Arabidopsis thaliana: one gene and its partners. The protein of the gene in region 2 interacts with the protein of the main gene of each other region in a biochemical or structural test. Each region holds a gene or a part of one and is shown on either strand. Other genes may lie near its edges.

Region 1 (4,511 bases), 5.3 Mb from region 2:
GACTGACATCCATGCTCCCTCAACCAAAAGACAAAACACAGTGCATCAATGGCCCAGCTGTCACCACAACTCTTTTTTTTTTTGATATAGGAACTTGTTTTGTTTTCTATTCTATAATATTTATTTATTCTTCTTTCTTGTTATCTTTTTAAATCAAAACGATCGAGACTGAAGTTGTTCAATTTTTTTCGTAATAAGGATAGGAAATTAATTAAGGATAGAGAGCACATGAAAATACACTGTATGTACTGTAATGGTGCATTCAAGGACCCTTCAATACGTTCCAAGGCCACATGTGATTCTCACAAAATGGTTCAATATTTATGAAAGTTATTTGTGAATATATGTTAAGATAAAATGTACCTGGACCATTCTTTCTATTTGTATTAGACTATCTTACACGTGATTTTCTTACTCTTTTGATTTGACTTCAATTAGATCTATATATTGCATCAAACTTTTTACCAAATTATGCGTCAAGTCACACCAATTGATGAGGTTGGCCTTATCGAACTAGTGGAACCGTCATATGCGAAACCAAATATAAGAAATGAATGAAAGACCTTTCAACAAAATTAATAAGCAAGTAGAAGTAAATCCAATATCAATATAACAATTGGTTAAACCTAAATTATATGCATCCAATACGAAAATTCTTTTTTTGGTATCTTTTAATCCGTTTATTATATTTGTGGAGCCTAAGTTGCGGATCCACTTGTATTCCTTATTTGAATCATTGTTATCATTTCTCATTGTTTGTGACTCGTGAGCTAGAAGAAACAAAAACAAAAGGATAACGTAATTTTGATATTTAAAGTAAACCACTATAAATCATTGTGTGTGTGTTTTTTCTTGTTTTAAAAGATCGAATTAGGGAGCCTAACATGTTTTTGTCTCAAGAGATTATTATCATTAAAAAAAACAAGTGGAAGTGGAAGTTGTGTAACCCACTTGTTGAATTCTTAACTTCGAAGCACAACAAAAAGATAGACGAAAAACGAAAACTCGATCTAACTTCGACATATGCATTAGATAACATATAGAAATTTAAACAATCTCGTTGATGAAATTGGTCTATCAACACACGACAGTGGTTCTCTCTACAGTAGCATCAAATCGGTGGATCCTTATGAACAGAAAAAACGAGGAGGGACAGAGGAAGGCCAATGAGGGGTCATGCAAAATGGAACTTAGCAAAAGTACCAAAAAGATCCATCCTCTTTGAAAATTCATTTCAGCCCCATAATTATCCATGACATGAATTTCGATCTGAATCTCACAACAAGTAAGAGATCAGCTTTTGATAACATTAAAGAAAAAGGTAAAAAAAAGAAAGACGAGAGACTGAGAAAAGGGCAAAGACCTGTAGGGGTTAAGACAGCTAAGAGTGTTCCTCAGTCGCCCCACAAATGTCTTCTCTCCTCTCTCTTCAGTCTTTCTCAGCTCTCAAATCTTTAAATGGTTCCAAGTTCAATGCTCCCAAAACCCACGCCCACACATGCATCCTATGACCTTTCCTTTTCTATCCATTTTCTTCCCACAAATTACCACTTTGCAAACAAAAGCCAAAAACTCATTTACAAGATGAGTTAATAAAGACACTAACACACAACCAATGTGAAAACAGACGTTTACATGAGATATTGTTACCTCTAAGAAGTCATTAATCATATAATGAGAACATTCTTGCTTCCTAAGTTTTTACAAGATTATTAACCTCTAAGAAAGGAGAGACACTTTTAACGCAATAATAACTACATGATGTTATAAATATAGGAGAGAGTAGAAAAGAATATGACAGCCCTACTAAGACAGAGAATCATCATCGAACAGTAAAGAGGAGAATCTCTGAATATCCACTTTAAACTACTGCCCTCTTGTCTTAACTCTCAGAACCATTTAATTTTTCAGTTATTTTGACCCATACCCTTTTTGGCCTCTTTCCCTGCTTTCCAACACCTTCACACTTACTCTAGGGCTTCCACGGCTATATATATATGGTCCCTTCCTTAAACTTGTATCTCATAATTCACAACCAGCACTGCTACTACTAGTTTATCATTATTCCATCAATTTATTCTATATAGAGTTCTTCTCTGTTTATATTACGATATTGCTCGAAGATTACATACCTGAGAAAGATGGTTAAACCCTGTTGGAGAATAGGTGCCGGTATGGAGAGAAGTAAGATCAATCCCACAAAGGTTGATGGTTTGACATGGTACAAAGATCTTGGTCTTCACACCTTTGGAGAGTTTTCCATGGCAATGATCCAAGCCAACAGTGTGATGGAGGATCAGTGCCAGATCGAATCAGGGCCGCTTACATTCAACAATCCGACAGTTCAAGGCACATTTGTTGGAGTTTACGATGGCCATGGAGGTCCAGAGGCTTCCAGATTCATTGCAGACAACATCTTCCCCAAGTTAAAGAGTAAGACACCGACTTTTTTTATTTCCTTTATTGTTGAATCTGCCAGGCACACTAACACTGGTCTCACATGAACAGAGTTTGCGTCCGAGGGTAGGGAGATTTCAGAGCAGGTGATCAGCAAAGCATTTGCCGAGACAGACAAAGATTTTCTCAAGACAGTGACGAAGCAATGGCCTACGAACCCACAGATGGCATCAGTGGGGTCATGTTGCTTGGCAGGAGTGATATGCAACGGATTGGTGTATATTGCAAACACGGGAGATTCCAGAGCTGTGTTGGGCAGATCTGAGAGAGGTGGAGTGAGAGCTGTTCAGTTATCTGTAGAGCACAATGCCAATCTTGAGTCTGCGAGGCAAGAGCTATGGTCATTGCATCCTAATGACCCCACCATTCTTGTGATGAAGCACCGCTTGTGGCGTGTGAAAGGCGTTATCCAGGTAAACATTCATACATGATAACGCATCTGATAACCTGCACAGAGTTTTGCTTCATCAGTTTCTATGAAATACAAAAGCTTAAGAAAATCATATATTGAAGCCTATCTTGTGTAAGGATGTAAAACTGACTAGCAAATGTGTTATGACCTTTAACCAGGTCACAAGATCCATAGGTGATGCATACCTCAAAAGAGCAGAGTTCAACAGAGAACCTTTGCTGCCCAAATTCAGACTACCAGAACATTTCACTAAGCCAATCCTTAGTGCGGATCCATCAGTCACCATTACGCGGCTTAGCCCACAAGATGAGTTTATAATTCTTGCTTCAGATGGGCTTTGGGAGCATCTTAGCAACCAGGAAGCTGTTGATATTGTGCATAATTCCCCTCGACAAGTAAGTTCAATGCCTAACCCATATACAAATACGTTACATACTAGCACAATGCACACCAAGAACTATTCGTTAATACTAATACCTTCACAATCACAGGGAATAGCAAGGAGACTACTTAAAGCTGCATTGAAGGAAGCAGCAAAGAAAAGAGAGATGAGATACTCAGACCTAACAGAGATCCATCCTGGTGTAAGAAGGCATTTCCACGACGATATAACCGTTATTGTGGTCTATCTCAACCCCCACCCGGTCAAAACCAATTCTTGGGCTTCACCTCTGTCAATTAGAGGGGGATACCCGATGCATTCAACATCATGAACAGATCTTACGGCAAAAACACTTCCTGTGTCAAGGGCAATAAATTGGAGCCAGGGTCAAGAAAAGAACTAGTAGTATAGCTAGAAACAATATTAAGTTATGAGATCTTTGATATGTTCTCCACAAGAAAACATGAATTCTCATGTACCCCTGTATGCAAAATTATACACGAGGGTACTTGCATGCAATATCATCAATGTCAACGCTGGTAAAATTCGAAAGCGTTGCAACATATTGGAGTTTAGGCACAAAACAGTAGATAGCCAAGAAATGTGTTGAAACTTAACATTACATTCCCTTTATAAAAGTTTTCTGGCGCTTCATTCAAAATTAACAGAAAGCAAGTATCAACAAAAGTTTATCTAAAATCTATTACAGAAACAAAGAAACTGTGTAGCATCAGAAGCCAGCAAAAACGCAGTCCCACGAACAGAGAATTTAGAATCTGAGGCTCTCTTTCCTTCAACTGCCATAGAGACCAGAGATATGGAAACCAACAAGTACATCTATAGTTCTAATGATGTCTTACATGACAAAGAAATTCTGAAGTAGCGGCTTGAGAGGTCATATGAAATTAAGTAACCTAAGAACGACACATGTTTATGGGATCCATTTTGCATGCAATATTCGCAATCAAGCACAGAACACCAGTAGACCAGCTAAATTTCGTAACCAAGACTAAGAAAAACTAGCAAAATAGGCACAACTCAAAAGTAATCAACACTTCTAATTTCTAACTAGTTCAAAACAGTAAAAAAATGTCTCCCTTACTTAAATATTTGCTGCATGCAGTACAAATTTTCAATTGCTGGTGCTTGTGCTTGATACGAACATGCAATACTAAAAGGACCATCCACATTCCAATATATTAAAACGAAATAAAGTTATTAATCAAACTATACTTACCACTCCAAGAACCTGCAACATGG
Region 2 (3,125 bases):
GTATATTCAGCGTAACAGATACGTATCAATAAATCATTGAAGAAAGGGATCGGATCCAGTCCACATCAACCCTAACTAGTGCGTGTCTCTATAGTTTTCCTTTTTGGGCAATGTATACTTGTCTTTATTATTTGGAAGGAGAAAGCAATGTTATTTATAGAATAAAATACAAACAGAAGTTTGGAATTCAAAAGTAAATTTCTTTTCCTTTTTGCTTGACAATATCTTGAAAACTATAATCAAATGTCACTGGAGACATCAACTAAATGTAACCCCCACACTATACGTAAGAGCCAGCCACTGATAAATTGTGTAAGTTAAAAGTGGTCATTTGTTATTTGTTTCCGTCTAATTCAGAGTAGCAAACAAATACTAAAACCGGATCTGAAATTCTCGGTTAGAGTAACAAGAATCCCGAACCGGGGGTAGTGCATCAAAAGGCAAAAATTGGAAATAAGCAGGTAAAACAAAAAGATATCCGGAATAAAGTTCGGGGGATTGAACCCGACGTGAATCGAACACGCAACCTTCTGATCTGGAGTCAGACGCGCTACCATTGCGCCACGGATCCGGATGTTAGATGTTCCACTTAATTGTTTTTAATCAACATGAAACTATAATTAGAGTAGTTTTTTGATTGATGAATTTGGTGTCGTCTTTCTTTTTCAATGAGCGATCAAAAATGTATTGACATGAAGTTTGTATATAACATTAATTTTGTATTTCACTTTCTACACTTTTAGAACAACTCTTTCAAGAAGAAAGAGAAAAAAGCTCATGTATTTACAATGAATAAGTCTATTTCTAACTGAAGGAAAAAATGTTGGATCATCTTCATTGGAGCCGAGAAGTCACATTGATGAAAGTATCTTCGGGACAAGGGATCGTTAAGCCACCCATCGGATGAGCAAACCCAAACTCTTCTTCGGATTTACTGAGCAGAGCTTGAAATGACGGTTGGCTCAAGTATGAGAGCGGCACCAAATATCTCTTCTTCTGGCTCTCTCCTACGTACACCGCAAGAAACCCTTTTGGTGCCGCAGATCCTGCTGCGGTGGAGCGGCTTAGAATCTTCTTTGCTCCCAATAGACTTCTCACGAAAGCCATTTTTATTTTATTTTAAATAAAAGAAGTTTGAATTATTATGAAGCTCTTGAAGATGTATGAAAAGATTCAAGTTATTGGAATGCTTGTTGTTGGTTGATGATAGAAATAATGGGGTTATGGGTGTATATATAGAAATATCAATGAACGATTTGAAACTTCTCTGAAAAAGTCATTGAAACTGTGGTCTTGAAGCGTGGGACAGACTAGAGCAAGAGTTCACATGGTTCTGTCTTTACCATCTGGAAAAGATGCATTAATGAAATTTATCTACTTAAATAATCTCCATGTGAAATTTCACAAGGGCTTGCTTTCTCAATGTTTCTGAGATAAGACGTGCCCTATATTTGCAAGAACAAAGACAGCAGGTTCTGTGATGATTAGGTGGTTGGTTCTTTGTCCTATAGTACTCTAATCTCTGCAGTCGAAATGGATTTATTAAGAAGTTAAAGTGGGGACCTGAATGTTATTCAACAACAGAACAACAATTCAATGTCACTCTCTAGTTGTTCTTTGATTATATCCACACATGAAAACTAAAAGAGACTGAATACCTCACTTCTTCTCTTCATTTATTATACAGACATGGAGAAGACAGACCCTTGTGAAGTGATGATAATGCTCATTAGCTTCCGTTGTCAACTTGTCATCTATCATACCTAAAAAACAGAACCATGTGAAACTATCTTTGTGTATGTCTCACCCCTACTTTGAATGGTTTCAGGGTGATTTGAAGTCTTTTATCAATCTATTTATACATCCAGAGACAGAACCAACTCTTCACCAAGTAGTGAAGCAATCCAGACCTCAAAATTTTGAGCATCTAACTTTTTCTCAGAAGCTTCAAATTTAGATTTTCCAGACTCAAGAAATGGCTTTGTTCAGAGGCCTCTTGAGTTCAAAGAAGATTATCGGCTTTTCTGTAGAGGCTACAAGCAAAAGGACAGTTTCAACACCTATTTTATGTAAAACTATTATTTTATGAAAATCTATATTTGGAATATAACCAAAAATGTATATCAATATGATCCTGCATAGTAAAGACACTCACTTAATAACCAATTTTTTTTCACTTTCTCACATCTTAGAATTGATGTTTTGAGAGTTTCGTATACTACAAGAAACCCTTTTTAGCACTCCCTGAGCGAATTTAAAAGCCTCTCGGAAATCTTCTGAAACTTGTGGATGTAAGAGTGGACACATAAGAAGAGAGTTTAGATGGTTTTGTCGTCCAGATGCTAACGTGATAAATGAATGTGGATACAAAAGACGAGCAACGATAAGCTAAACTAGACTTCATGAGGGTTTGAGTTCGCTACATTTGCTTGTGGTTCTTGGTTGTGATTTCTCTGGTTGCTTTTGTCGTACGTCCTGATCTTAATATTTGAAGAAGGAGACGTGGCTCACTTGACAAATGCTAGGAACAGACCAGTCTCGGGTTTTACGGATCTTATGCAATAGTCTGCATGCAGTATCCAGTATCCACATTAATTGTTCTATAACATGTTATGATAGTAAAACCATAGGAATGATCACAAATCATGACAAGAAAAGCCTAAGGAAATCAAAGAAGCTTAATATCGCATAAGTGATTAATAGCATTGAGCCATTAATGATCTTACAACAACAAGAGTCTCTCAATGTTATTTGGGAAAACATCGAGATCATTGAGAGAATCGAGTCTGAGCCCTTTAAGTCGTCTATATAGGTCATTTGCAATTCCTTTAATTTTGGTTACTCTAATACTCTTTCTCTTTGGATCAAAATACACCACATGGAAGGATTCATACACACTCATTGGCGTATAAACAAACTCACCAGCATCAGTAACACCCTTCAAAATTAAACACGCCCATTCTTTGTCAGACAGAGGAAAATTCAAAGACATAAAGAGACATATTTCAACACCAACGGCCATGGAACAAGGCCACCTACACCATCATCTTCACAACCTTGAGCTTCTCCAAAACATTTCTCATTGGATCTCATGATAAAAAGCCAGAGAAGTAATAAGCAAATGG
Region 3 (3,689 bases), on a different chromosome or scaffold from region 2:
TGTTTTGTTGTTATAATTCTAAGCAAAGTCTTTCAGAGATTGAGATGTTGCAAATAGTTGCAGAAATTTATCACTGAAAAGGGTTTCATTATTGAAAGACTTAGCTTAGGCGTTGAAAAACTTTCATTGTGTTTTATTTGTGGAACTGTTTGCAACTGCTATAGAGGAAGATGTACCAAGCAATTCTCGAGTTTTCTTCCTCAGTGCTCCAATGGGATTATAGTATTCATTTGGCTATAAAAAGAAAGAATGAAGAAACGTCGGTGACAAGCAATGATTCTTTAGGTATACTCCGACAAACAAAACCCCAAATGGTGTCTTATATTCTGAAATTTCAACACAGGAGAAGCAAGTTAAGTGTAAAACAGATTCCAACCCATCTTGACTCAGGATATGCATCAAGAGTCGTTTCTTTTCTCGCATAGGATTCAAGATTCAGTTCTGCAATGGTATAGTAACTCCATTAGCAATGCCAAAATGAAAAATATAATCTTCAAGTAGCTTAAATTTTGACATAACTGGCTTTTTCATACCTTTTTCTTGGGGCTCATCACCACTTTTGGATAAGAGGAAACAAAAAAAAAGTTGAGTGTATGATTTGGAAGAGAACAAGAAACTAGTATGCTAATTGGTTTCTTGCAACAAAATTTGCTTGAATTCAACAACTTGGCGTTTAAGCAATGAAAGATCCACAAAGCCGTAAATATGTTCCCAAGCATTAACATTCGAATCAAAGTTTAGGCTCCTCATAACAGTACAAGAACTAACAAAATTTCACAAAAATGGCTTATATTGATTCCAAAGGAAACTATCTATCTATCATCAGAGGAGGCAGATAGGGAAATAAAAAGATTACCTCCTCTCTTTCTGTGAGGTCTAAAGTCCACATGTTGAGATTGTCTCTGAGTAGCTGTATAATAAGAGTCATGTCCTTGTTTGATTCATCACTTACTGTCAAATTCATTAATTGCATCATCGAACGCTTGCTTTGCCAATTGGTATGCACTGTACAACACACAGTTTCACTGATTCAGACTGTTAGTAAGTAACACCACACCGATTTCATTAAATAATCATATGTATGCATGTAAGCAAAGGAACCTTTCAGGAGAGTTTAAGAAAACAGAAGTCCAATTCAAAGTCATGTATAGCTGGAACTGTTGGTACCAAACCAGTCTCTGCAGCAGTAACAACAACCAACATTGCCATTACCAAAACACAAAACATATTGTTCAGTTTATTTTGTTCCGAGCTCAAGGCACAAAAACAAACATGAGCCAAGGACCTTATATGCATCAAGAGACTGATCAGTAGCTTCCTTGCTTTCAGCATTAGAACTGAAGTCTGCCAGCCTGGAAAGAACATAAAGTATAGCCAAAACAGTGCAACACTTTTGCGCCTCAAGCACCACAACAACACATTTTCGCTCACATATTGTAGAAAAGAACAGAGGAGTCCACAGTGGTAGACGATGGAATGAGTTGCTTATTGATGACGGACAGGATGTCATTACAAATTTTGGCAAGCTCATCTTCAACCTTGTTTCGATAATTCTTAAGCTTCTTGACATTTTCCTCATTTCCTTTTGACTCTTCCTTTTGCACAATGGATGATAGTATTTCCAATGAAGCTCTCCTTGCGCTAATCACATTCTTGTACCCCACTGATACAAGATTTCTCTCCTTTGCTGATAGCTCCGCTTTAAGCTGAACACTTTTCTTCATCGCTTTCTTTATCTCTTCAAATGTTTCTGCAACAAAACATTTGGAGTATTGAGTAATGTGAAGGCATGTTAAGATTCAAGAAGTTGTTCTGGAAAAAAAGTACCATTGTAGCGCTCGCTTGACGAAGAGAGACTCGCGAAGTGAACGTGCGTTGATTGTTCATTCTCCATGGCTTTTCTTCTTTTTCTCTCTTAAACAATAGATGCTTGGAGAAGAAGAAACTGTAATCTGTATTTCTTGCTCAAGACTTTTCGATTTCACTCATCATTTTAAAGAATAGAAAAGTAAATGAGCTAATGACAAGTGTCCTATTGGCGCTGGATCCAATAGCATCAAATCTGTTTTGAAGGTTTCAGGTTGATTTGGTGAGAGTTGGCAAAGATCGTCACCATGATCCTCTGTTTATTAGTCAAACCTAATATTTGAAGGTGTTGTCTCTTTGCTTTTGACAGTTGTAGCATTTGTTGTGCTAGCAACAACTCACCTAAAGAATTTAGAAGTTGGGCCAAGTGAATACTTGAATTGATCATTTGTAGCTCAAAATTGAAGTTTTCGATAGATGTATGAAATTATTATTCATTGGACATATAAAAATATTAAAGAAAACACTACAAAATCTCTCGAGGGAAGTGGTCAATTCGTGACAAAAATGTTATTTAGATGGTTGACAAAAAGATATCTGATTCTATAAGGATTAACTGGTTCACAGTTTGATTAACATGTTTTAGACTTTGAGGGCTCTCGATTGGATTAGACACAATGAGTGTTGGTACGAGTTAGAGAGTTTGTGATAGCATTTGGTTACAATTACAACTTACAAGAGTCCCATATTTAGAGCATAGAGATCCTTTTTGAGGGTCATGTTGGGAGAACCAAACCATTATTATGTCACACACTTACGGACCAAACCACCGTAGAGAAACACACTTGAGGATGATTCCTTGGCCACAAAGAGGGCAAACATCCACAAATTGAAAAGTTGTGAAGTTTGGGATCACTTATGCAAATTATTAAGAGCCTCTTGAATTCAGACTTTCATGATTTTTGCAAGGAGTTATTAGTTATTACAAACTTCGAATAAAGCTTTGTCTGTTTTGGTTTTTAATTTTGAGACCATGATACGCCTAATATTCTGATAAACAAAAACCCAAATCATGCCTGCTGGCTCAATTCAACAACAAAAGAAGCAAACTAAGCGTAAAACAGAATTCAACCACATCATAAGAGGGTTGAAGATACGCAACGCAGTGTTGTGTTGTGAAAAGTTCAAGAATCTGGAAAACACCATCAAGAAAGACATAGATTAAAAATTACACATTCGAGTAACAAACAACGACACTTACTGTCTTCACTTCAAGATTCAGGATGCAGCAAGAGTCGTTTCTCTTCTCACAGAGGATTTAGTTCTGCAATGATTCAGTAATTCCATGAGTGGTCTAATTGTCAATGCAAAATGGAAAAATCAGTAAGTAGCTTAACTTATAACAAAACTGGCTTTTCATACCTCATCTTGAGGCTCATCAGCACCTTTGGTTCTCTCATCTAAGAGGGGAAAAAAAAAAGGTGAGTGAAAAAGCTTTGGAAGAGAAACAAGAAACTAGTAATGTTTTCTGCTACAAACATATAACTTTTACAAGATTAGCTAGAATCCAATAACTATGAGATGGTAGATTGGTATGTTTTTTGTTGAGGCTTTCAAAACTAAAATGAAAGATCTACATAGCAATACATGCATAAAGGACGGTTTAATTCAAATATAGACAGATGGTTAATGGTTACGAGTTCCCAAACATCAACATTTTTACTCCAAGGTAACGCTCTTAACAGCTCATTTGATTCTAAGGAAACCATTTGATCATGAGATAGGGAAACAAAAGAAAATAAGAATACCTCCTTCCTCATTAAGGTCTGAAGTCCACAAGGTGAGATTGTCTCTAAGTAGCTGCATAATAAGAGTGCTGTCTT

What was found.
Region 1: the proteins of SAUR19 (region 2) and AT5G02760 form a complex in vitro, tested with the Arabidopsis thaliana proteins (one study listed by BioGRID).
Region 3: the proteins of SAUR19 (region 2) and AT1G22290 interact in far-western blotting, tested with the Arabidopsis thaliana proteins (one study listed by BioGRID).

The regions. Positions count from the first base shown.
Region 1 is NC_003076.8:623,236-627,746, forward strand, and holds AT5G02760 (Protein phosphatase 2C family protein), read left to right. Parts: upstream 1-2,018; 5' UTR 2,019-2,141; coding exon 2,142-2,433; intron 2,434-2,508; coding exon 2,509-2,870; intron 2,871-3,027; coding exon 3,028-3,264; intron 3,265-3,360; coding exon 3,361-3,582; 3' UTR 3,583-3,889; downstream 3,890-4,511. UniProt on the Arabidopsis thaliana protein: Dephosphorylates and represses plasma membrane H(+)-ATPases (PM H(+)-ATPases, e.g. AHA1 and AHA2), thus influencing negatively plant growth and fitness. Promotes the apical hook maintenance of etiolated seedlings.
Region 2 is NC_003076.8:5,962,199-5,965,323, forward strand, and holds SAUR19 (SAUR-like auxin-responsive protein family), read right to left. Parts: upstream 1,208-3,125; 5' UTR 1,108-1,207; coding exon 835-1,107; 3' UTR 575-834; downstream 1-574. UniProt on the Arabidopsis thaliana protein: Provide a mechanistic link between auxin and plasma membrane H(+)-ATPases (PM H(+)-ATPases, e.g.
Region 3 is NC_003070.9:7,876,022-7,879,710, forward strand, and holds AT1G22290 (14-3-3 family protein), read right to left. Parts: upstream 1,942-3,689; 5' UTR 1,895-1,941; coding exon 1,828-1,894; intron 1,751-1,827; coding exon 1,432-1,750; intron 1,353-1,431; coding exon 1,286-1,352; intron 1,179-1,285; coding exon 1,102-1,178; intron 1,006-1,101; coding exon 953-1,005; coding exon of another isoform or gene 945-952; intron 877-944; coding exon 809-876; 3' UTR 619-808; downstream 1-618. Other genes in the region: GRF10 (general regulatory factor 10), read right to left, coding at 3,125-3,130, 3,229-3,266, 3,615-3,689.